Linked DNA regions of Notamacropus eugenii. The protein of the gene in region 2 interacts with the protein of the main gene of each other region in a pairwise test. Links are inferred from orthologs where the notes say so. Each region holds a gene or a part of one and is shown on either strand. Other genes may lie near its edges. The genes, in order: serine protease inhibitor Kazal-type 7-like and RABL6.

Region 1 (11,262 bases), about 82 Mb from region 2:
ATTATGATGGCATGCTTTCTGTCCTCTTTGAATTCTGATTCTATTCATTTAATTTCTCTTGCTTATGTAGTGATTGCTGACCTTTCTATAACACATTACAGTTTCACACTATAGAAATCACAAAGTGATTTCCTCCTAATACCCCTAAAAGATGGGTAGAATACATATTCCCATTCCCATTCTACAGATATAGAAACTGAGACCCAGATAAGCAGAGGTAAGAGGCTCATCTTGTTAGTAAGTAGAAGTTCCACGACTCATACCCATATTTTCTGATTACAAGTTCACTGAGAAACACTGCTTCTCAGGTGGTGCTGGACTGAGAATTTTTATGTTAACCCTGATTTCACAACTAAATCCCAACTTTCAGCATTATTATTTTTATTGAGAAAGAAAACTAAATGTTATGTTTGACAGATATGGAAGGACAGGAGGGATACCATATGTGCTCCAGGAAAATAGCAATTAGATTGGAACATGTCAGCCTATCCAAAGGCATACAGGGGACCAGAGTGATTCAGATGGTGATGAAAATGAAATGACCATTTTCCTATACTCTGGTTCATGGGGAGAGTTAGCAATTTCCATCATGAAGATAAGACACTTTTCCATTTGTTTTCCTAAGGGCAGAGAAAGAGTAATAAACGTTATGAGTTACAGATTCACATAATATCGGGAGCAGTGGTCAACTTAGTGTAGCCCCTTAGTACAAACTACCTTAGAGAGAAACTCAGTTCCATATATACTAAGGGATCTGTATAAAGTTACAAAGTGGCAAGGCTAGAACTAGAAACCAAGTCTTTCGACTCCTAGATTAGGGACTACTCATAGAATCATGATATCAGAATCAGAAGGGGTCTCAGAAGTCATCCAGAGCAACCTATACCTGAATCAGAATCTTTGGGAACTGGTCATCAATTTTTTGCTTGAATACTTCCACTAAGGAGGAAAGTGCTATCCCCCAAGATTCCATTCAATTTTAAAATAACTTTATTGTTAGTGTGTGTATGTGTATGTATATATAATATACATATATAATGAATGTCTATAGAGTTATATATATTATATATATGTAATATATAATAATATGTCTATATACGTATAGACACACACACGCACACACACACACACACACACACACACACACATATATATATATATATATATATATATATATATATATATATATATATATATATATATATATATATATACACATGTGTACAGCAGAAAAGAAGAAATAAAATAGTTGTCCTCTGTGCAGAAAAAGAATTACTGTTTCTGCTTGGTCCTAGAGGGCAGAACTAGAAACAATGAGTATAAGAGTATGTATACATATATATATATATATATATATATATATATATATATATATATATATATATATATATATATATATGTGTGTGTGTGTGTGTGTGTGTGTGTGTGTGTGAATATGTATATATGTGTGTAATATATATGTCTGTTTATACAACATATAAATGCATATATATGTACATACATTCATACATATACTTATGTGGCCCTCTGGGATCAAGCAGAAAAAGTAATTCCTCTTCTGCATAGAAGGACAATTATTTTGTTTCTGTCTTCTTTCCCCTTGTGTCATACTGTTGAATCATGCTGAGCTTATAGTCCAGTACGATTCCCAGGTTTTTCCCACACAAACTACTTAACAGTCATTTATGCCTTCTCTTTCTTATATTTGTACAGGTGATTTCTTGAACCTGAGGGCAGGACTGTATATATTTTAAAAATGGCATCATATTAGATTTAACCCCTTTTTGAGATCTTTTGTATCTGAACTTTGTTGAATATGTTAACCATTCTTTTAAGCTGTGTGTCACTTGCAAATTTTTGTAGGTAGTAATTTTTGCTCTTAGCTAAATCACTGATAAATATGTTGAAAACTGCAAGATGAAGGAGAAAGCTAGAAGGCCCTTCCCTAGAGATCTTCTGTTTGGATATCTATCCATCACTCTGGAGGCCTTTAATTCAGGTAGTTCTGAACCTATCAAATTGTATTCTCATGCCACCTACAGATCTCCAGCTTATCTACAAGTCTTTCATGAAAGAATTTATCTAATGTATTTATGTCTGCCTCATTTTCATGAGAGGTTAGTCTGGTAATTGAATCAGAAAAGGAAGTGCTATGAATGTATAAAGCAGTAACCCTCGCCCTGCCATTCCTTTATCCCCTTTCCATACTTACAAATTCTCTATGCAAAGATGGCATCCATTTCCGTAAGTTGTGTAGTCAGAACCACACACGGGGAAATATGTAACAGGGCAGGGAATAGCTGACACTGGGTACTTCTTATAAATCCCACAGTCCTCCTAGCAAGGAGGATGAAGAGAAGGAGAAGGAGGAGGGGAGAGAGAGAGACAGAGAGAGCACTTAAAATTCTTGACCTCATGAGCTTATAAGATAGGCAAGTCACTATGGTTCAGGGAAAAGAATCCTGGCCTAAAGTCTAGAAATCTGCTTTCAAATTTTGACTCTATCCTCAACTTACTGGAAGCTCTCAGTTTAATTACTTCCTTTTTTAGGGAACAGGTTTTTTTAGCTATATAAAATGAATGGTTTAGATTAGGTAATTGCTGAGATCCTTTTCAACTCTATTATTCTGTCTTACTTTCTACCCTCTCACTTCTAATCTCCCAAGATCCATTCCACTTTGAATAAATAACACTCTTAGTTATAAAGACTGTTCCAGGTTAGATATTTCATGTTTTGTTTCTCAGGCTCATGACAAGTCTAAAGTTTTATGTTATAATGTCCCTTCTAGGTTGGACTTTTTATGTCCTTTGATATTTTATGAATCCATTTTACCCTTCTCTTTCTGAGGAGAGGTGGACCACAGACAAGGCAGAAGTTGAGCCTCTAGCTCTTGCTTTTTCAAGAACAGTGTATTCTAGAAAATCCTCATCTATCTATTCACCAGATTTCCTAGTATTCCATAGGTCATTTATGTAATTAGGAGAGGGTTTCACTCTTCAAGGAATTTTCTATAGGGATGGTGAGGTAGGAAAGTTACTTCCCTACTTCCAGCTCCACTTTTCATCTCTCCTGTCCATACACCTAGAAGTGACCCTTGCAATCAAATCCTATCTTGACATTCTACAAGTGAGGAAACTAAATTTCCAAGGAGTAGAAGCTACTTGCTCTCAGTCACATAGCTAATAGGTATTAGAACCAAAATTTGAGCATAGATCTCCTAGTCTCAAGGGTAGTTGCTCTTTCAATGAGAAATCACTGCATGTAATAACTCGTATTTTACAGAGAACTTTCTATAAAATGGCTTTGTGAGACTGTCGTTCTCATTTTATAGATGAGAAAACCAAGTTTCTGAGAATGACAAGTCACACAGCTAATGATGGACCTAGAACTCAAACCCAAATCCTCTGACTCCAAGTCTACCAAAATGAGGCCACTCTTGATCTTTTTGATCTCCATAATGTAACATAGGGTTCTACGCTCATTGAATTCTTTCCTAATGGATGGATGGCAATAAAAATAAGAAGGAAATGAAAACAATCTGCTTACCTTCCCTAAATTCTGTACAGGAAGTCCTGAAATAGAAATAGAGATAGAAGTTCAGGTGACTCATCACTGTACTCCTCCCTCAACTCAGTGACCAAGGCTGGGTTTAGGCTGTGAAAATTCTTTACTTCTGAACTATCATTGTTGGTCTACAATTTAGTGTGAGGCTGGTATCCTGGACCACTCTTGTTCAATCTCAGTCAGTCAGCAAACTTCTTCTTTTCTCTGTTATCTATCCACATAAATGTCATGGGAAGAACACTTGACTTGGAATAAAGAGACCTGAGCTAGGCACTGAGTTTTCATACTTACTAGTTCTGTGGCATTGGAAGGATGGAAGGAAACAAGCATTTATTAACTATATATTATATACTAGACATTGTATTAAGTACTTTGAAAATATTATCTCATTTAATCCTTGCAGCAACCCTGGAGTTTGGGTGCTATTATTTTCTCCATTTTATAGTTGAAGAAATTGAGGCAGACTGAAGTTAAATGACTTGGCTAGAGACATTCAGTTAGTAAGTATCTGAGGCTGGACTTAAACTCATGTCTTTCTGACTCCTGTTCCAGGGCTCTGTCTATTGCATTACCTATCTGCCTCTAGGTAAATGGGTAAGACACTTGATTATTTGACCTCTAAACCTCTTTTATTCATCTATAAAATGGAACTACATTCACTATTTACCTTACAAATAATTTAGAAAAGCACTTTGAAAACTTTAAGGGGAAGAGGAGAAGGGGATAAGCAATTATTTAGCACCAACTATATGTCAGGCACTGTAATAAGCGTTTTACAAATATTATCTCATTTGATCCTCAAAATAACCCTGTGATGTAAATGCTCCACTGTTATTATCCTCATTTTGTAGTTGAAGAAACTGAGGCAAGCATAGTTTGGGTGACTTGCCCAGAGTCACACAGTACTATGTGAGTCTGATGCCAGATTTGAACTCAGGTCTTCTTTAATCCAGGCCCAGCAAGCTATCCACTGTACCACCTAATTGCCTAGCTAGAAATAAAAACCCAGGTCATTTGACCTAGTGGGAATCTTAGAGTTTATTAATCTAACTTCACTTAATAGATGAGTTGGAACTTTAGAGCTGGAGAGAACCTTAGAACATGTTCTTTCTACATATATAAAAACTAGGACCCAGAGAAGTTCAAGGTCACTGAGTAAATCAGTGACAGAGTTCCAACTTTTCAGAACTCAGGTCTGTTGACTTGTAGGCAAGAATTTTCTCCACAGTGTCATATTGTATGTCTAAATCAATATAGCCAGTTAATTCTAGGAATAGCAGTAATGCATGGTTCTATGTAAGCCTTTATTATCACATCCCATATATTACTTCATCTGATCCTCAAAATAGCACCATGAGGGAAGCAGGACAAGTATTATTATCTTCATTTTACTGTCTGGGAGACAACGTCACTGAAAGGAAATTACAAAGCCCTGAAATCAAATTTCCTAATTTTCAGACCAGTACTCCATTTTGTCCCTGTCAGGAAAACTCATCCTGTTGAGACAAGTTGGGGAAATCCCAGGGTTAGGACACTTTCTGAGAAGAAATTCTATTTTACTTACGAGAGGCTAGGCAGAGATGAGCCAGGGCAAACAGCAGTAGAAAGCCCCCATTGATCTTCATGGTCTTATTGGGAGAGTTGGAATCACTGGCAAGGGACTCTTCCACAGAGAGTAGTGGATTAGTCCCCAAGAGTGGGATGACTTTTATATGACCGCAGAGGTGTCCCCCACCTATATATTGTAATCTTATAGAGACAGTATTCACAAGCTGTTGGTACACCCTGGGTGGAGTAACACTTGCCAACTAATTGTTAAGTTCAACCAGTCAGACAACTGGATTATTAACTTTATTTGATGTAACAAATAATCCATTGATGCTTCTGGAAGTGAAGATCATGTCATGTAATACTTATGATTTCACAGTTCTTTTTTTCATTTGGAACTTTTGATTTTGTTGAAATAGGAAATTCCAATGAGTTCTCTCATAGTTCTCCAGTGAAACTTCCTCCCTCTACCAAGGCAGACCAATAACTACTTTGCGCTTAAATTCAGAGAATGGGCTGGAGTCTTCAGAGATTAGGTGACTTACTCAGAGTCACGCAGTCAGTAGGTATTAGAGGGAAGACTTCTAGCCAAGTCTTCCTGACTCTGAAATTGACTTGATATCCACAGCAAATTTTAATTTATGGTACATTAGTAATAATGACATTTTTAATGCCTTTTAGCATTAAAGCACTGAACATATGAATAGAGACTTGGATCTGAGATGCCAGCTATCAGAATTACTAATTGTGTGACCATGGCTTCAATTTCTTCATCGATGAAATGAAAAGTGTAAACAACATTGGTTCCTTCTAGTGCTAATGATAAATGTTCCTCACTATATCTAGGAAGGAGGAAGAGAATACCATTATCCCCTTTTAATAGAGGAGGAGAGGTTCATAGATATTCAGTGACTCCCCATAGTCTCACAACTAGGAAGTGACAGAACCTGGATTCCACTCAACTCTTCTGTCCAGGGCACTTTCTAGTACATCACACTGCTTTTCTAGGGAACATATTATATAGGCAAGGGTCAGCTTCAGTGAGCATAGGAGAAGTTAGCTTGCTCCGAAATGATTTTGACCTATCATCTGCAAACTTGTGCAAAGTTCACCTAGAATAGGAATATTGTACTCTTGCTTGTCCCTTCTACAGGAGAAGATTTAGTAAGTGCAGCATGAGGACTTGAGCAGAAAGAGGAGAAGGACTCAAGGAGAAAGACAAGAAGCAATCAAGGAGAAAAACTGGAATGGAAGAATGACATAGTTGAGACAAGAGGAGGGAAATTAGATATACCTGAAAAGGTATTCATAAAGTAAAGAAGAGAGGCACCTACTACTATAGTTCAGGATTCCCACCAACACTTTGCTTTTGTCCTGGAAGGTTGGCTGTAAGAACTACCAGAGCAATGGCAACCTGGGTTCTCTGGATTATGGGCAGGTATCAGGTTGTCTGCGAACTTGGATGCAGAAAAATGACATCTTTACATTCTAACCAAAATCTAGCTTTCATTTGCTTATTTAAAAGTATTTTTCTGAGAAAGCATGCAAAGGCTCCACCAGACTGCCAGCAGGATATAGTCCTCCTGGACTAATCAGAAAGTGGAAATATGAAAAGTTTGGGAAAGTAATCATAAGCTTGGTGCAGAGTTAGGATATATTAGCGACAGGAAATTTCAATATCTTGATATTTGCTAGAGCAATATTTATATAAGAAGTAGAGTAGTTACCTTTTCCAGGATTTGCTTTATAGTAATAAGTTCATCTTTCAAAAGGTAGAGGAAATAACTAAGGGAATTGCTAGTCTGCATCTGATTCTTACCAACTAGGAAGAACTAGAGACAGAAGTAGAGATGTTGGGAAACTTATGGGAAAATGACCTTTCTGTCTTCGATTTTGTGCTAGAAGAGAGAAAAGCTAGGTAAAGATTGACATGTGCCCTGAATTTCGAAAGAGTTGATTCCAAAGAGTTTTGGGGTATACTTACAGAGAAGGTCATATTAGGAGGCATGGGAAGCTCTTAAAAATGAGTTCTGAAGATTTAAAGAGAAATAATATGAATAAGGAGGACAAAAAGGAGCTGTCTGGATTTAGAGGGAACTGAAAGGGAGCAGGCACTTATTAAACATCTACTTGTGCTAGGCACCATTCTAGGAGCTTTATAAATATCATCTCATTTGATCCTCACAGCAACCCTGGGAGGTACTTGGGAAGTACGATCTTCATTTTACTGTGAGGAAACTAAGACAGAGAGAGGTTAAATGACAGCTGAGAAGTGTCTGAGGTTGGATTTCAACCCAAGTCTTCTGGACTCTAGGTCCGCTACTCTCTATCCACTGTGTCACCTAGCTGCTTCTAATTAGGGGATGGAATATGAATGATGATCCAGCAAAAGATATCAAGGAGAAACAGGTGGATGGGGAGGAGAAGATGATAATAATAATATATTTATATAGTGCATATTATGTGGCAGGCACTGTACTAAGCTCTTTTGAGCTTTCATTTGATCTTCACAATAACCCTGGGAAGTAGATGTTATTATTATCCTGATTTTACAGATAAGGAAACTGAGGAAATGGAAGTTAAATGATTTGCTCAGGATCACACTGCTAGGAATCACCTGAATCCAAATTTGAACCCAGATCTTTCTGACTACAGAGCCAACCCTTTAACGTACTACAAGAAAGAGCAGTCTCAGAAAAACCAACAAATAGCAGTAATATTTATTTGCATAGTGCTTTAAGGTTTACAAAATACCTTAAATGTGTATTGCCATTTTATCCTCACAATAACTACATCCTTAAGATCCTGAAGGCGCTGACAGAATTGATTGCTAAACTTCCAGAGGTGATTGTAAAATTGTGGAGAATGGGAAAGATGCTACAAGACTAAGTCTGGACAAATGTTGTCCCAGTATTTATGAATGAAGTCTTTAAATTATAGTCCAACGAGCTTGATGTTGATTGGGAAAGCTCTAGGACATATTAAGGGGGTGGTGAATTGAGAGAGAGAGGATGATCCCTCATAATCAAGACAGATTGTCCCAGATTAGTTCCATTTCAGGAACATATCTGAGTATCACCCTCTTTACTACCTGACAGCCTAGAATTAAACCTTTTTTTGTAACAAAAGAAAAACAATTAAGTAAGAACAACTGATACAGTTGTACCCTTGGAAATGTCCACAATGTTTGGGTTTTAGTTCCTACATTCTCCTAAAAGTGGACAGAAAAGAGTTTCATTATTTCCCCCTGGGATCATTGCAGGTTTTTCCAATTATTCAGTTTGATTTCCTTTTAGTGATCTTTAAATTTACATTGTTGTTATCAATGTACACATTGATCTTCTGGTTTTTGCTCCTTTTCCTCTGGATCAGTTCATACAGATGTTCCCATGTTTATCTACATTCCTTATCTTGGTCATTTGTTACTGCACAATGATGTTGCTGTACATTCATTCACATGACATTTTTTTTAGTCATTCTCCACCTGATGGGCGCTTATTTTGTCTACAGTGCTTTGCTATCATAAAACATACCACTAAGATTATTTTGGTATACATTGGCTTTTTTGTTTCTATCTTTCAGTTCCTTGGAAGATGTGCTTAGTCATAGGATTGGTGACTCAAAGGGTTTGAAGTCGTTTACTCACTTTTTTTGCATAACTTCAAACTGTTATCAAGAAAAGTTAGACTATTCACAGCTTCATCAAACAATCTCTCCAGCATTGACTTTTATTTTTGGTTATCTTCAGCCATTTGATAGTTATGAGGTAAAACCTTAGAAATATTTTAATTTGCATTTTAAAATTTCATGTACCTTTTCTTCTTTTTTTGATGGGAATATTAGATTGGAAGATAAAGAGGATGCCATAGTCATAGTACTTGGAATTTAGCAGAGCATTAACAAAGTTAATATGTCTCATGCTATCTTCATGGATGGACTGTAGATATGAGGATTATACTGGCTTAAATGATTGGACTAAAGGAATTCAGTCATTAATAGATCATCTTAAACCCAGAAAGAGGTCTCAAAAAAGGTAACTCTATGGAATTATCTTTAATCATGTTCAACATTATAATTAATGCCTTGGATCCAGGTAAAAATGATGATATTAAATCTACAGATGCTGGTGGAGAAGAAGATAGATATTAAATGAATAATAGTGTCAAATCTCCTTCTCCAACCTCACCAAATAAGAGTAATGGGTGAGTCTTTATTGGCATTGATGCAAATCCTGCATTTAATTTCTAAAGATCACCTGCTCAACTAGAGGTTAGGGGAAATATGATGAAGCTGTTTATGTGAAAAATATGGTAATTTCATTGGACTATAAGTTCATTATGAGATAATAGTGTGGCATGGAAACCAAAAAACTTATCAGGTTCTCAGCCTACATTAATAGACGTAAAGGATACAGAAAGGGGGCAGAGGCATGATAGTCCTGCTATCCTCTGTCTTCATCAGACCACATCTAGAATGCTGTGTTTAGTTCTGAGTGTCATACCCTAATGGGAATGTAAATTCCTTCCATCTGGGATAGTTTTTGTATTTGTACCATCAGTGCCTAACAGAATGCCTGACATAGATTGCATGCTTAATAAATACTTAGTAAAATGAATTGGATTGGATATTGGATTGGATAAGGGTGGTCTTCTAAGATGTCAATGGGTCTGGGTAGAATCAATGAGACTTTTGGTAGAGACCATACTCAAGCTGATGCAATAATAGAGCCCTGACATATGGAATTTAGCATCATTATTATTGACATATCTGAAATACTCATAAGGAAAATAAATAGCTCAAGGCAACTGCATGCTATAAAGGTATTTCAGTGAGAAATGTCATATAAATTTATTCAGGATAGGTTTATGAATTTGCAAATTGCTTTTCCTGCCAACATTACATCACCTTTCACTATGCTGCATGAACATGTCTGACACTGCACACCCAGGACCTCACCCTTAAAAATATTTTGGAAGTAGGCTAAAGCTTTGTCTTTACAGAGGAAGAAATTGATACTTGGAGAGAGAAAATGATTTGTAGTGATTATGCCATAACTTTGTAGTTGAGAGAGGGTTATATTCCATGTCTCTGAATTCTCAGGCTAGTGGAACTTTCTGGTCCTGCCTTTCTAGAAACTAGCCTATATGGGTTCTGAGTGGCAAGACCTGAACTTTTATGCTCTGTAATAGACATTATTTGGTATTTCCAGCTGGTTTCTAATTTCAGCCTAATGTAGACTATGAAAATCCTGATGTCCATTCAATAGGGCATGTTCTAACAGGTATCTCTTAATTCTGCAGTTGTTTATCTCAGTCAATACTTTCTTCAGGGAAGTTAGAATTTGCCTTGTCAGAATGACTTCTTTCTGAAAATGTTAGCTCTTCTGTATTGAAGTCCCAGCTCTTCCATTTACAGGCCAAGTGACCTTGAGAAAACCCCTTTTATTCCCCTGAAGTTGTTTACTACATTATTTTCACCAGAGGAACAATATATTAATCATAGCTTGCTTCACAGTGTTGTTGTAAGGGAAATATGTTGTGAAATGTAACTCCCATTAAATGTGGCAGCATGCTATAGTGGGTAGAGAGCATGACCTTCAGTTCAAAAGACTCGTTCAGATTCTGCCCTCAGACATTTAGTAGTTGTGTCACTCTGGGAACATCATTTAATAACAGTGGGCCTCAGTTTTCTCATCTGTAAAATGAGATTAGGTTCCATCCAGTTCTAAGCATATGATTCTATGATTGTTCTGATTATTCTTATACTGTTATCTAGTTCAACCCCTACCTGAAGCACAAATCCTCTCTTTCACATCTCTGGCAAGTGATTATCCAATCTCTACTTGAAAACCTCCAATGACTTGGGGCTTTCTTTATTGTCATGAAGTTCATTGTTGCAATTCTCTAATATTTAGAAAGTTCTCCCTTATAATATGTATTTAGAACACAGAGGATGATAGGATCACAAATTTAAAGCTAAGAAGGCTTCATGAGGTCATCCATTGATTCCTCTGCCAAACTGCCTCTAGGAGGCCTATATTCTTCTAGCATTAGTTCTTCTGTGAATTTTTGACCTTTAGAAAGTTGCACCATTACTTTGCTCCTATTTCTTTGCTATGAAATAATAGGATTAATGAGATGTTTTCTAAG
Region 2 (10,758 bases):
TTTGGGGGAAGCCATGGTTGTTCTCTGAAGTGACTTTAATGATTAGAGATAATCCCCTCAAACCTGTCAGTCCCCTAATAATAATCTCTATAATTAAGCTATTTTGGTATATTGGGGAAAGGTACCGAATTTGGAATAAAAAAAAATCAAGTTGGAATCCTGGCTTTGTCACCTATGTGAGCTTGGGCCTCAGTTTCCTCATTTGTTAAAAAAAAGTACCTTGTACTTTTGTCAACGGAACCTATTTATACTAGCAGCCCAATCACCAGGAGATTCTTGGAGAATGTTTCATATATTTATTCTCCAGTAGGTGAAGCAGGACAGCCTGTAATTTGTCTTAAAATGATCTGCTTCAAGGTAGGGGGGAGGGGAGGGAGGCATTGCACAATGGACACAGAGCCAAGAAGCCCTGGGTCCAAGGCTTTCTCTGGAACATGCCAGCTGCATGATTCTCAATAAGCCACTTTAGTGCTCCTAGGCAACTCTCAAGAAAAATAAGTTGTGATCAAGATGCTGACCTGTATCAGTAGAAAAAGTTCTTCCTTGGGAATTTTCTACACTGATAAAATTACAGGTCTAGTAATCAGAAGGGGGGGGCCCTGAAATCAGGAGGACCTGAGTTCAAATGTGACCTCAGACACTTACTGACTGTATGACCCTAGGCAAGTCACTTAACCTCGATTGCTTCCCTCTCCCCCCCAAAAAATGGAGTTTCAAAGTTGAGGGTGGGGTTGGGGAAATACCTTGAATCTAGTTCTGGTGAATAACCAGGACTCCTCTCATTTCTGCTATGATTTTATAGCTTTCAGTTATATGCCTTTTCAGCCTTTATCTTCCTAGGTTTAAAAGGCCTAATCTAATCTTTTGAATCAAGTCTCATCCAGCCACCCCTCCCTCTACTGTTTTCTGAAGCTTCTCCAGTTCAGTTCTGTCTTCCTTGATAGCTCCCCTTCTTCTGATGCTGTTAAGAGTTCAGTCCCCCAAAAACCTGTCCCCTAAACTCTACCTAGCTCCTAGTTTCTGAGGAAGTGGTACCTCCTACCTTCTACCTCGTCCTCCCCAGATGAGTATAAAAAGACCCTAAGACCCATCACCCAACATTCCCTCCAGTCTGAAATTCTGACCCTAAGGAAACTCCCTGCAGAAAGGGGCTCAAGGGAGGAAATTGAGAGGAAATGAGACATTTGTTTGTCTTCAGAAAGGAATGCCTGGTCCTGCTGATACCAAAGATGCCTACAGTAAACTACAATACTGTGAGAAGAAGCTACTCTATCTGATAGAAAGAACTAAGAACTATGTGGAGATATTTGAAGAGGTAAATGAGGGAGGGCAGAGGCAGAAAAGTTCTTCTATGTACCCCCTTTCCCGGCCTTTTACCCCTGCTTCTTTCCCCTGGGTCCATCTTATTACACCTCTGCTTTTTAGTACTCCCAGAAAGTGAGAGACTTCCTAGAGGAATCAACGCTAAGTGAAACACATAACGTGAAGATTACTTTTGAAGATGGTGATGATGATGGGAGAGGTGAGTTACAGTGGCTTAGGTGATAAAACTGTAGAAAAACCCATTCATCCTGATGTCTGAGGCTGCTGATCCTGCCTTCATCAAGTCCACCCTCCCACTCCCCCAACCTCACAGACAAACTTTAGGCAATGGGGATAAGAAGCAGGAATTAGAAGTTCTAGCTTTTAACTTAGGGAAAATCAGTAGCTAAGGTTTGTGATTGTCCCTGATGGGACTGGTGAAAGTCTGTAGAGTACTAGATACCCCATATAGCTCTTCAACTGAACATTCCCAGACATTCAGAGCTGCATTCCCAAAGTGGGGGGGGGGGGGAGGCTGGTAGTATATGGGGCAAGATAGAATTGGATTGGCACATCGTCCATCAGCTTTGCCTCACACATGATGGTGGACTATGTTCTGAGAACCTGGGCAACCTTTTCTTAGTCTCTGAATTATCAGAGATGAGTCTTTCTGCCACACTTCCACTCCAAACACACACCCTTAATCATCTAATTAAGAAATAACAATTTGCACTTGTATAGGGCATAAGGAAAAGGACTGGAACATGTGCTATGGGTATCTCAGAGGGATTTATTTAAATAACATGCAGCTTGGGTTTAGTTATGAGGTATTTCCTCCTTGATTTGCTACTTAACTGTAGATAATGGTAGGCTTAAGGCCTGGTGGGTAGGAAAGGGAGATGGGACATAGTGAATTTGGGAGTTACTAGTAAGTCATTCCCCTGAAATAAGAATGGTAGCCAAATCCTGTGACTCTCCACCCCCCTGGGAATGTAACAGTCCACAGATAGCCTCCTGGTCAGTGGGGTCCAGAAGCTCCTCCACTGTCCTCTTGCCTTATACTTTTTCCAGAATCCTTCCAGTTTCCTGATGTGGAACATAGCTACGTTCCTTCTCGGGACGAGATCAAGAAGCAAAGTGAAAATCTGATTGAAAGTAAACTCAGAAATATCAAGAAACCAAAGAAGAAATAATGGTTCCTTCTTTAGTCTTGATCCTTTCCTTAACCCCACAAGGCCCTGCATGTCCAACTTTCCAGCTCACAATGGACTGCCTCCTTTCATGCTCAGTTTATTACACAAATAAAATTTTTTCCAGAACTGAATATAGCACAAGCCATTCATGGCCATGCAACAGCTCCTTGGTAGGGGAAGATGGGACTTAAGTGGGATCATCACCATAGGAGAGTGAAGGTAGCAACCCCTAATACCTGCTGTCAGCTCCACTTAACAGAAAGGAAGGTTGAAAGCAGTACAGGAAAGCAAAAAGAGAGTTGGATGTGGGAATTGGGACACCTAGGATGTCTGTCTGGCTCTGCCACTAACTCATTTGTTATCAATCTGTCAAACATCATCTGCCTGGCCCTGTGCTAAATGCTAGAGACACACACAAAAAAAGCAAAAGACAGTCCTTGCCCTTGAGCTCACAGGCTAATGGGTGAGACGACATATAAGCAATTATGTACAGACAGGGTATGTATAGGATAAATTGGAGATAATCAACAGAGAGAAGGCATTACAGTTAAGGGGGATGAGGAGACATTGCTGTAGAAGATGAGATTTTTAGCTGAGGCTAGAAGGAAGCCAAGGCCACCAGGAAATGAAGGTAAGAAGGGAGAGCATTTCAGACATGGGAGGGAGCCTGCAAAAAATGCCCAGTGAGGAAATAGAGCACCCTGTGCAAGCTAAAGAAAGTCAGTATCAATGGATCATAGAGAATATAGAGGGGAATAAGGAATAAGAAGAACTAGGAATGTAGGATGGAGACATGGTACAAAGGGTTGCAGAAGTCAAGTACAAGATCTGGAGCTTTATCAGAATTTCTATTTGACAGGGAGCCATTGAATCTGTTGAGTGGAGTGAGTGGGGGTGGGGTAGGGATTCACATGGTCAAACCTGTGCTTTTCGATGATCATCTTGACAGGTGAGTAGAGGATGGACTGGAGTGGGTTGAGACTTGAGGCAACGAGTCCCACCGGAATGCTATTGTAGTCTCAGAGCAATATGATAGGGGCTCTCATCAAGGGTGGTGGCAGGGTCAGAGGAGAAAAGGGGGCATGCTAGGGAGCTTTTACAAAGGTAGAATCAACAGACTTGCAACTAACTGGGTTGAGAGGTAGGGGGAGTTTTGAGAGTGACCTTGGACAAGTGTCTCTGGGTCTTAATAGTTTCCTCCTTTATTATATATGAGGGTTATGTTACCTCTTGGAGTAAGAAAGCATTGAAATTAGACTGCTTGTGTTCAGGTCCCTGTTCTGCCACTTCTTATCAGAGACCTTAGCTAGTCACTTTAATGCCTACCTCATTACATTACTCCTGGACTATTGCAATAGCATCCAGCCTAATCTCCTTGACTCCCTAACTCAAGTCTCTCCCCACTGCTGTCCATCTTCTACTCAGCTGTCAAAGTCATCTTCCTAAAGCCCAGGTCTGACTCTGTTAACTTCTCCCCTCCCCTCACCCCCCAACCCCACCCTAACTCATAAACTCCAATAGCTCCCTATCAAATATAAAATTTGAGTCTTAGTTGTACTTTATAAGTGAGGATAACACATCTTGCAGTGGTCACATCCCCAAGATGAATGAGGAGAATACTTTATAAAGGGTAAAATATTGAAAGGAACCTATTCTCTTTTTTATTTTATTTTTAGTTTTCAACATTCACTTTCATAAGATTTTGAGTTCCACAATTTTTCCCCTTCTCTGCCACTGAACGCTATGGGATCTCCTCAATGAGATCAACAACTACTGAGAGAGAAATTACCCTACTAAATCAGGAAAATCTAAGTGGATAAAGAATGTGTATTGCCCAGATGACAATCTGGGTTTCGTAGTTGGTACCAAAACAAGTCTGTCCCCATAAGTAAATGTCCTCCCTGGGTAGAGAAGAATAGGCCTGTAAAATGAATGGGTAGCATTTAAGTGTCTTGGAGTCCCATAACTAAGTAAATGTCTGACAGGATTTGAACTTAGGTCTTCCTAACTCCAAGTGTAGTACACTATAGACTGTGCCAGCTGGCTGTCTGTCTTGGTGAACTCAAATTTGTCTTTTCTGAGCCGTTTATCAAAAAAGCTGCTCTATTTTTTGAAGCCTTGTTAGTCTGATGGCCAAACCTGGGAAAATGCTAGGTACAAAATTTCCCAGCTTCCACTGAAACAAATCAGATAAGTGGTGCTCCTCAAAATGTGCCTTCATGTGAGGAGGGGGCCTCTGATACCAGAAAAGGACATTTGGAATCAGATGACTTGAGTTTGAATTCGGACTCTGCCACTTACTGCCTGCTTTGGGCAAGTCACTTAAATTTTCTGAACCTTTTTTCCGTATCTCAACTTCTCAGGGTCCTTCCAATTCTAAATCTAAATCTAGAATTACACGTAGGCTTATAGATTTAGAGATCATCTCCCTTCTGTCTTTAAATCTATAAACCTATGAGATCATTTAATTCAAACATCCACTTCCCCCCAACCCCATTTCATAGATCAGCAGACTAAGGTCCAAAGAGCTTAAATGATTTGACTACCAGTTACATTGTAAATGAGTGAGTATAAGAGCTAATATTGGAAACCAGGTCATCTTGGTTCTAAATCCAACTTTCTTCCACTACACTATGCTGTGTCTGGTCACAGATAGGCAGCCTATTTAATTCATCCGTCCAGAACTATACGTTGAACAGACAATAACCTAGGACCACAACTGAATATAAGGGAGTGGGTGGATGGATGGTCCTCAGCAGAACATTCAGTGCTTTTAAAAATCCAAAACTGGTCACAACCGTGAAAGGCCATCTTATTAACACTTATTCTCCAGATGCAAATACAGCAACTCTTATATAATTAAACATCATGAAACACTATGGCCTCCTGGCACACTGTAACCTGGAGGTGAGAGATGGGGTCTTGGGGGTGCAGAGTGCAGCCTGCTCTAGATGTGCCTGGTTTAAACCCTGAGTATCTGCCATTATTACCTTCCAGGGAGACACCCATTGCTTCCCCTGCCCCCAACCCTTGGGTAAGTCATTTTAAATCTCTGCCTCAGTTTCCTCATCTGTAAAATGAAAAAAATAAAAGCACCCACCTCCCAGGGTTGTCACAAGGATCCAATGAGATGACATTTTGTACAGCCTTAAGGCCGATACCTAGCCATCATTATCATCAGTTTGAGGAGGAGGTGAGTGGGGTGTCTGGAGAAGCGGGGGTGTCTCTGGAAACAGTGGGTAGGTAGAGCGACTCCAGAGCAGAATTCAAATTTCACTCTGCCCCACCCCTTCTCTCCGCCCCGCCCCCGACAGCTCCGTAGGAGCGGCGAAGGGGGCGGGGACTTCGCGCCTTCCCGCACTAGCTCCGCCCCCACCGCCGTGTCCCCCACGGGCCCCCGTAGCTGAGGCGACGCTGAACGAGGCCCCCTTCTCAGCGCCCCCCTCCCCCTCCGCCCGAGCTGTCCCAAGATGGCGACGCAGGAGAGCGGCAGGTGGCGGTGCGGAAGGCCACGGAAGCTGTGCCACGTCCTGTGAGGGCACCTAGAGACCCGGCGTAAGGCCAGGGAGAAAGCCGAGGCGGGCTAGCCCGCGACCGTCTCGAGCCGAGCTGCGGAGAGCTAGAGTCCTGCCTGACCGCCTCGCCTCCTCCGCCCCCGGCCTTGAGGAGGGAGCCAGCTGGGGCTCTGCCCAGGGGGAGGGGGACGGGGAGAGGCCTCCCCTAGCCGCCCCTCAGCCTCGCCCTCCGTCCCCCTTCCCCGGGCATGGTCGCCCCCGCCCGGAGCTTGCCCCTCCCTGCCTGAGCCCGCCGGAGGGCCCTCTGGATCCTCCAGGACCGCTGTAGGGGGGAGGCGCGGAGCTGGGAAGGGCAAGAAGATGTTTTCCGCCCTCAAAAAGCTAGTGGGGTCGGACCAGGCTCCCGGCCGGGACAAGAACATCCCCGCGGGGCTGCAGTCCATGAACCAGGCGCTGCAGAGGAGGTTCGCCAAAGGAGTGCAGTACAACAGTAAGTGAGGCCGGGGGAGGGTCGCCCCGGAGCCCCTGCGCCCCCCACTACTCTCGTCAGCCTCGGGGGTCCCCGAGGCACTTGGCCGTCAGTGCTGAGACCCTGCCCCGGGAATTGGGTACCTCGTAGGGTCGGGAGCTAACGGGGACCCTCTGCTTCCCCTTCAGGGGGGAAACTGGGCATCCTGCCTTGGATCTTTTTGCCCCGTGGGAGGGGAGGGGCAGGAAGCTAGATTGGGGGTTTGGGGGTTAGGAATGCTAGACAGGATCGCACCAAGTCAATGCTGGAAGGATCATGGGACTTAGAGTTGGACCGGAAGGATAGATAGATGAGCTCATCCGGATCCCAGGTTTCCTAGGACTTGAAGCAGGAAGAACCCATTCGGTTCAAGTCTCCTGGGATTTAAACCAGTTCAGCTTCTCGACCGAAGGAGTATGCTGCAGGCTGAGGAGAAGATGACGTGACCTGCCCAAGGTCACACCCTCAGCGAGGGGGTGAAATCAGAACTGGAGCCCAGGACCTCCTCTACAAGGCCGACACGCTGTGACACTGGCCTCCTGGCTACTTCCTTGGACGAGACACTCGTCTCCAGATCCCAGGCATTTTTCACTGGCTGTCCCTCAGTGTAGAAAGCTTTCCCCTCTCATCCCTACCTCCTGGCTTCCTTCAAGTCCCAGATAAAATCCCAATTATTTCTCTTAATTCTAGTGACTTCCTTCTGTTGATTATTTCCAATTTACATTGTACATAGTTTGCACAGTTACTTGTATGTTGTCTTCCCATTGGTTTATGATTTGTATCCCCAAGGTTTAGCCAGGTTGCTGGCAGCGCTTAATGAATGTTTGTTGAGTGACTGATTACGGAGTTTTAGGAGTCCTAGCAGATTTAATTTCTTTCTCCTAGGCTCCCCCCCCCCCCACACACACACACACCCCTGCCTTTTTTGAAACTCACTTAAGGCCCTGAAGTAAGGAAAAGGAGAAATTCAGTTTAATTCAACAAGCATTTATTAAGCACCCACTTAAGCCAGGCACTATAGTGTGTGCTGGGAATACAGAAAATAAGGGTTAGCCTTCATTGGTAATATTCTTCAGGATGAGTTTCAAACGATGGTGCTAAGTTTAAAGAAAAGTAAAGTAGTGGTCAGACTGAATTAGTTCTGGCTTTTGGGCCCATTCATTGTTCTGTGCCTGTCACTGCTCCCCTACCCCCAGATTTCTGAGAATTTGATATTTATAGATAATGTGACCAGATTCAATTTTTCTTTTGTTTTTTAAGTATTAGTCTTAAAATATTATTTTTGAGATGATCTGACATACTATCACAAATATAAGTAACCAGGACCAAGAATAACAGCTATTACTGATATGATGTATTAAAAACTAAAGTGTTGCCCTTTTTCTCAAAAAAAAAAGTATAGTAGCAATTTTTATTGGACTACTCATTTATATGACTATCCATTGAATGCCCAAGGCGGCATAGTAACAGTGGAAAATTGCAGGATTTGGAGTCAGAGGGCATGGCTTCACACTCCTGCCCTTACTGTTAATTACCTTTTGTGTACTTGCACAAGAAATTTCATCTCCCAGTGCCTCATCTTTAAAGTGAGGAGGTTAAATTACATGAGTACCTTACAGTTCAAAATCCGTATTCTCTGTGTGTCATAGGTGCTAAGGAAGTTTGCAAGATACAGGTGAGGTATAGCTCTTTCCCTCCAGGAACTTTGAGTCTTTCTAGTCTTATTTTTATTTAAACTTGATTGTATGGTCATGCTAGGGGATTCTGTGCTGTACAATTGTATGATTATCACCAGATTGAAATTATACAAACCAGATGTGCCTCTCAGAGTAATCATTTTCTTTGGAAAGGTGGATGAGAATACAGAAGTTGTGAAGTCCGCAGTATATGAGCACTGACTCTATTCTTGCTGCCCTTACATATCCTAAATAGTGTTGGATAGAACATAGCTCATTATGTGCGTTCTGCATGTGATATATTGATGAAAAGGCCATGGCAGCAGTTTTGCTAAGCGCCTTAAGCTCACCAAAACTTTTTATGGGATTTTTGATACAATATTATGGATAGCATTGGCTATATTTTGCCTGAGAAATTACTATGTAATTTGAAAAAGTAGCCTCTTGTTCTGTCACTCTGACGGTGAACTTAATTCTAGAATTCTTCCCAGAGAGTAGACTAACTTATAATGAATGTGATTTTAAATTAATGCACCATCTTATATAATAATTTATAGTATTATTGAGTCATGTGCATGTTCTTTGTAGTCTTAACTTTCAAGTGTGGATTTTGAAAAAAATAATTTTGACAAAATTTTAAGATCATAGATAGAAAGGACCTCAGTGGAATTAGAGGACAACCTTCTCATTTTACAGAATGAGCAAACAGGCCCAAGGAGGTGAGATGACTTGCTCAAGGTCTCAAAGGTTGTGCATCAGAATTTGAACCCAGGGCCTCTGACTGTGGTGCCTTTCATTCTTCCTTTAATTTTTTTATGTTGTTGTTTTTAAGAAGCAATTCTGTGGGGCTATGTTTAGTGAAACTCCAGAAAACAGGGATACTGTTACTGTTTATAATCTGTTACACATTGTGAACGAAATGATCATTTGAAGACAATAAAGTGAGAATTTAAGATTTTCATCATACTCAAATAATATAAATTAACTCCACGGCTCCTAGGCATTGTTCTGTCCTCAGGTAAATTTTCTCATTTGACATTTGATTTTGCTATATTGCAAATCAAGACAACAAACATTGGCAACATTTCAAAACTTTTATGTTGTATTTTGACAGTGTTTCTTTTCATTCCACTTTTAGTAAAAAAAATTTTTGGAAGGGGGTTCCTAGGCCTGTTTCAAACAAAGCTTTCAGTTTTCATAATAATTTGCCTTGGTGGTAGGATAGAATATTTAGAAGATGAACAGAAAAGCTTTGTCAAATTTAAAAACAAAGTTCAATCTGGCCATATTGTAGCTGTAATTTATTTTCATTTGTTTCTCTCACTAAATGTTCAGATTCATCAAGGTAGAGGAATGAAGTCAAATAACTACCTTAGCAAATAGTTCGTATAAGTTAGTGGGATCTGTGTTTAAGCCCCTGATTTTCCTTTAAGCTGTAACCAACCATTAATATGACACTGTGTTTTAAAAAATATTTTTAAATGACTCTTTAATCTCTTGGAAATTTGGAGCATCATTCTTGAATCTGTTCCCTCTCAGAAATGTGTGTTTTTCCGTGGAGGTCGCCCACTGATTCTGAGTGGGCTGAGAACTACGAATTTACTTGTTAAGGAGAAAAAGAGGAAGAATATCTGTTACTTCATGAGGTCTCAAAACTTACAGACACCTTAGAAATCATCTGGTTCAGTTGCTACCTGATAGGAGTTTTGGTAGAATGATAAGTGGAAAGCTAGACTAACGGATGGGTTAAGAGAGTGGGAAGAGAGAAAGTGAGGCAGCTTTTATTGACATTTTTTTGTAGTTTAGGGTTCTGTCCTGGGCCCTCTTCTCTTCTCTCTCTATACTACTTCACTTGGGTGAGCTCATCTCCTTCCCATGAATTTAATTACTATCTCTATGCTGATGGTTTTCAGATCTACTCTGCACAAAACTGTTGACCTCTGATCTTACACCTCCTCCTGCCTTTAAGACATGTAAGCCCAGATGTCTGAATTTTATATGTCGGAAGCTGTATTTGAAATCAGGTCTCATCCACTTCACCACCTAGCTGCCTCACTAGAGATCAGGAAAAACTTAGGAGGTATAGTATATAGTACCTCAGTTGAGTCTTGAAGAAATCTGAGGGTTCAGAAAAGCTTGGATCAGAGTAAATTTCAGGTATAGAGGAAGGTAATATCTGTAAAGTTAAAGGAATAAAGGTTTCTTCAGGATCTAAACCCTTTGTTTGTTCTGGTCTACCAATTTATACCTGATCTGAGCCAGGTGGATGATCTGTTCTCATTAAGAAATATCTTATCTCATATAGAGAATAATAGGTTGAAATGTATTGTTTATATATTTTTTCAAACCTGCTGGCAAACCAAATATATCCTGGTGGTAATTGTATTTAGGTTTTAATAACCTTTTCCTATTTCTCTTATTGCTGATCTTATCACAGGTTTTCTTCCCAAAACTGAATTTTTGCATGTAACTCTTCTCCACCTGACATGTACTAGTATTTGGCTTCATTTTTTAGTTTGAGATGTACTATTTTACTATTAAGAAAAAAATGAATATCAATTGCC

Evidence for each region.
Region 1: the proteins of RABL6 (region 2) and serine protease inhibitor Kazal-type 7-like interact in binary tests that used the Homo sapiens proteins (3 or more experiments, as listed by UniProt). The link is inferred for Notamacropus eugenii from reciprocal best matches to the Homo sapiens genes RABL6 and SPINK7.

What each region holds. Positions count from the first base shown.
Region 1 is NC_092872.1:410,443,831-410,455,092, forward strand, and holds the start of serine protease inhibitor Kazal-type 7-like, read right to left. Parts: upstream 5,265-11,262; 5' UTR 5,191-5,264; coding exon 5,130-5,190; intron 3,574-5,129; coding exon 3,548-3,573; intron 2,338-3,547; coding exon 2,213-2,337; intron 621-2,212; coding exon 575-620; 3' UTR 1-574. UniProt on the Homo sapiens protein: Probable serine protease inhibitor.
Region 2 is NC_092872.1:492,640,577-492,651,334, forward strand, and holds the start of RABL6 (rab-like protein 6), read left to right. Parts: upstream 1-5,954; 5' UTR 5,955-6,370; coding exon 6,371-6,500; intron 6,501-10,758. Other genes in the region: CCDC183 (coiled-coil domain-containing protein 183), read left to right, coding at 1,199-1,315, 1,426-1,522, 2,374-2,495. UniProt on the Homo sapiens protein: May enhance cellular proliferation. May reduce growth inhibitory activity of CDKN2A.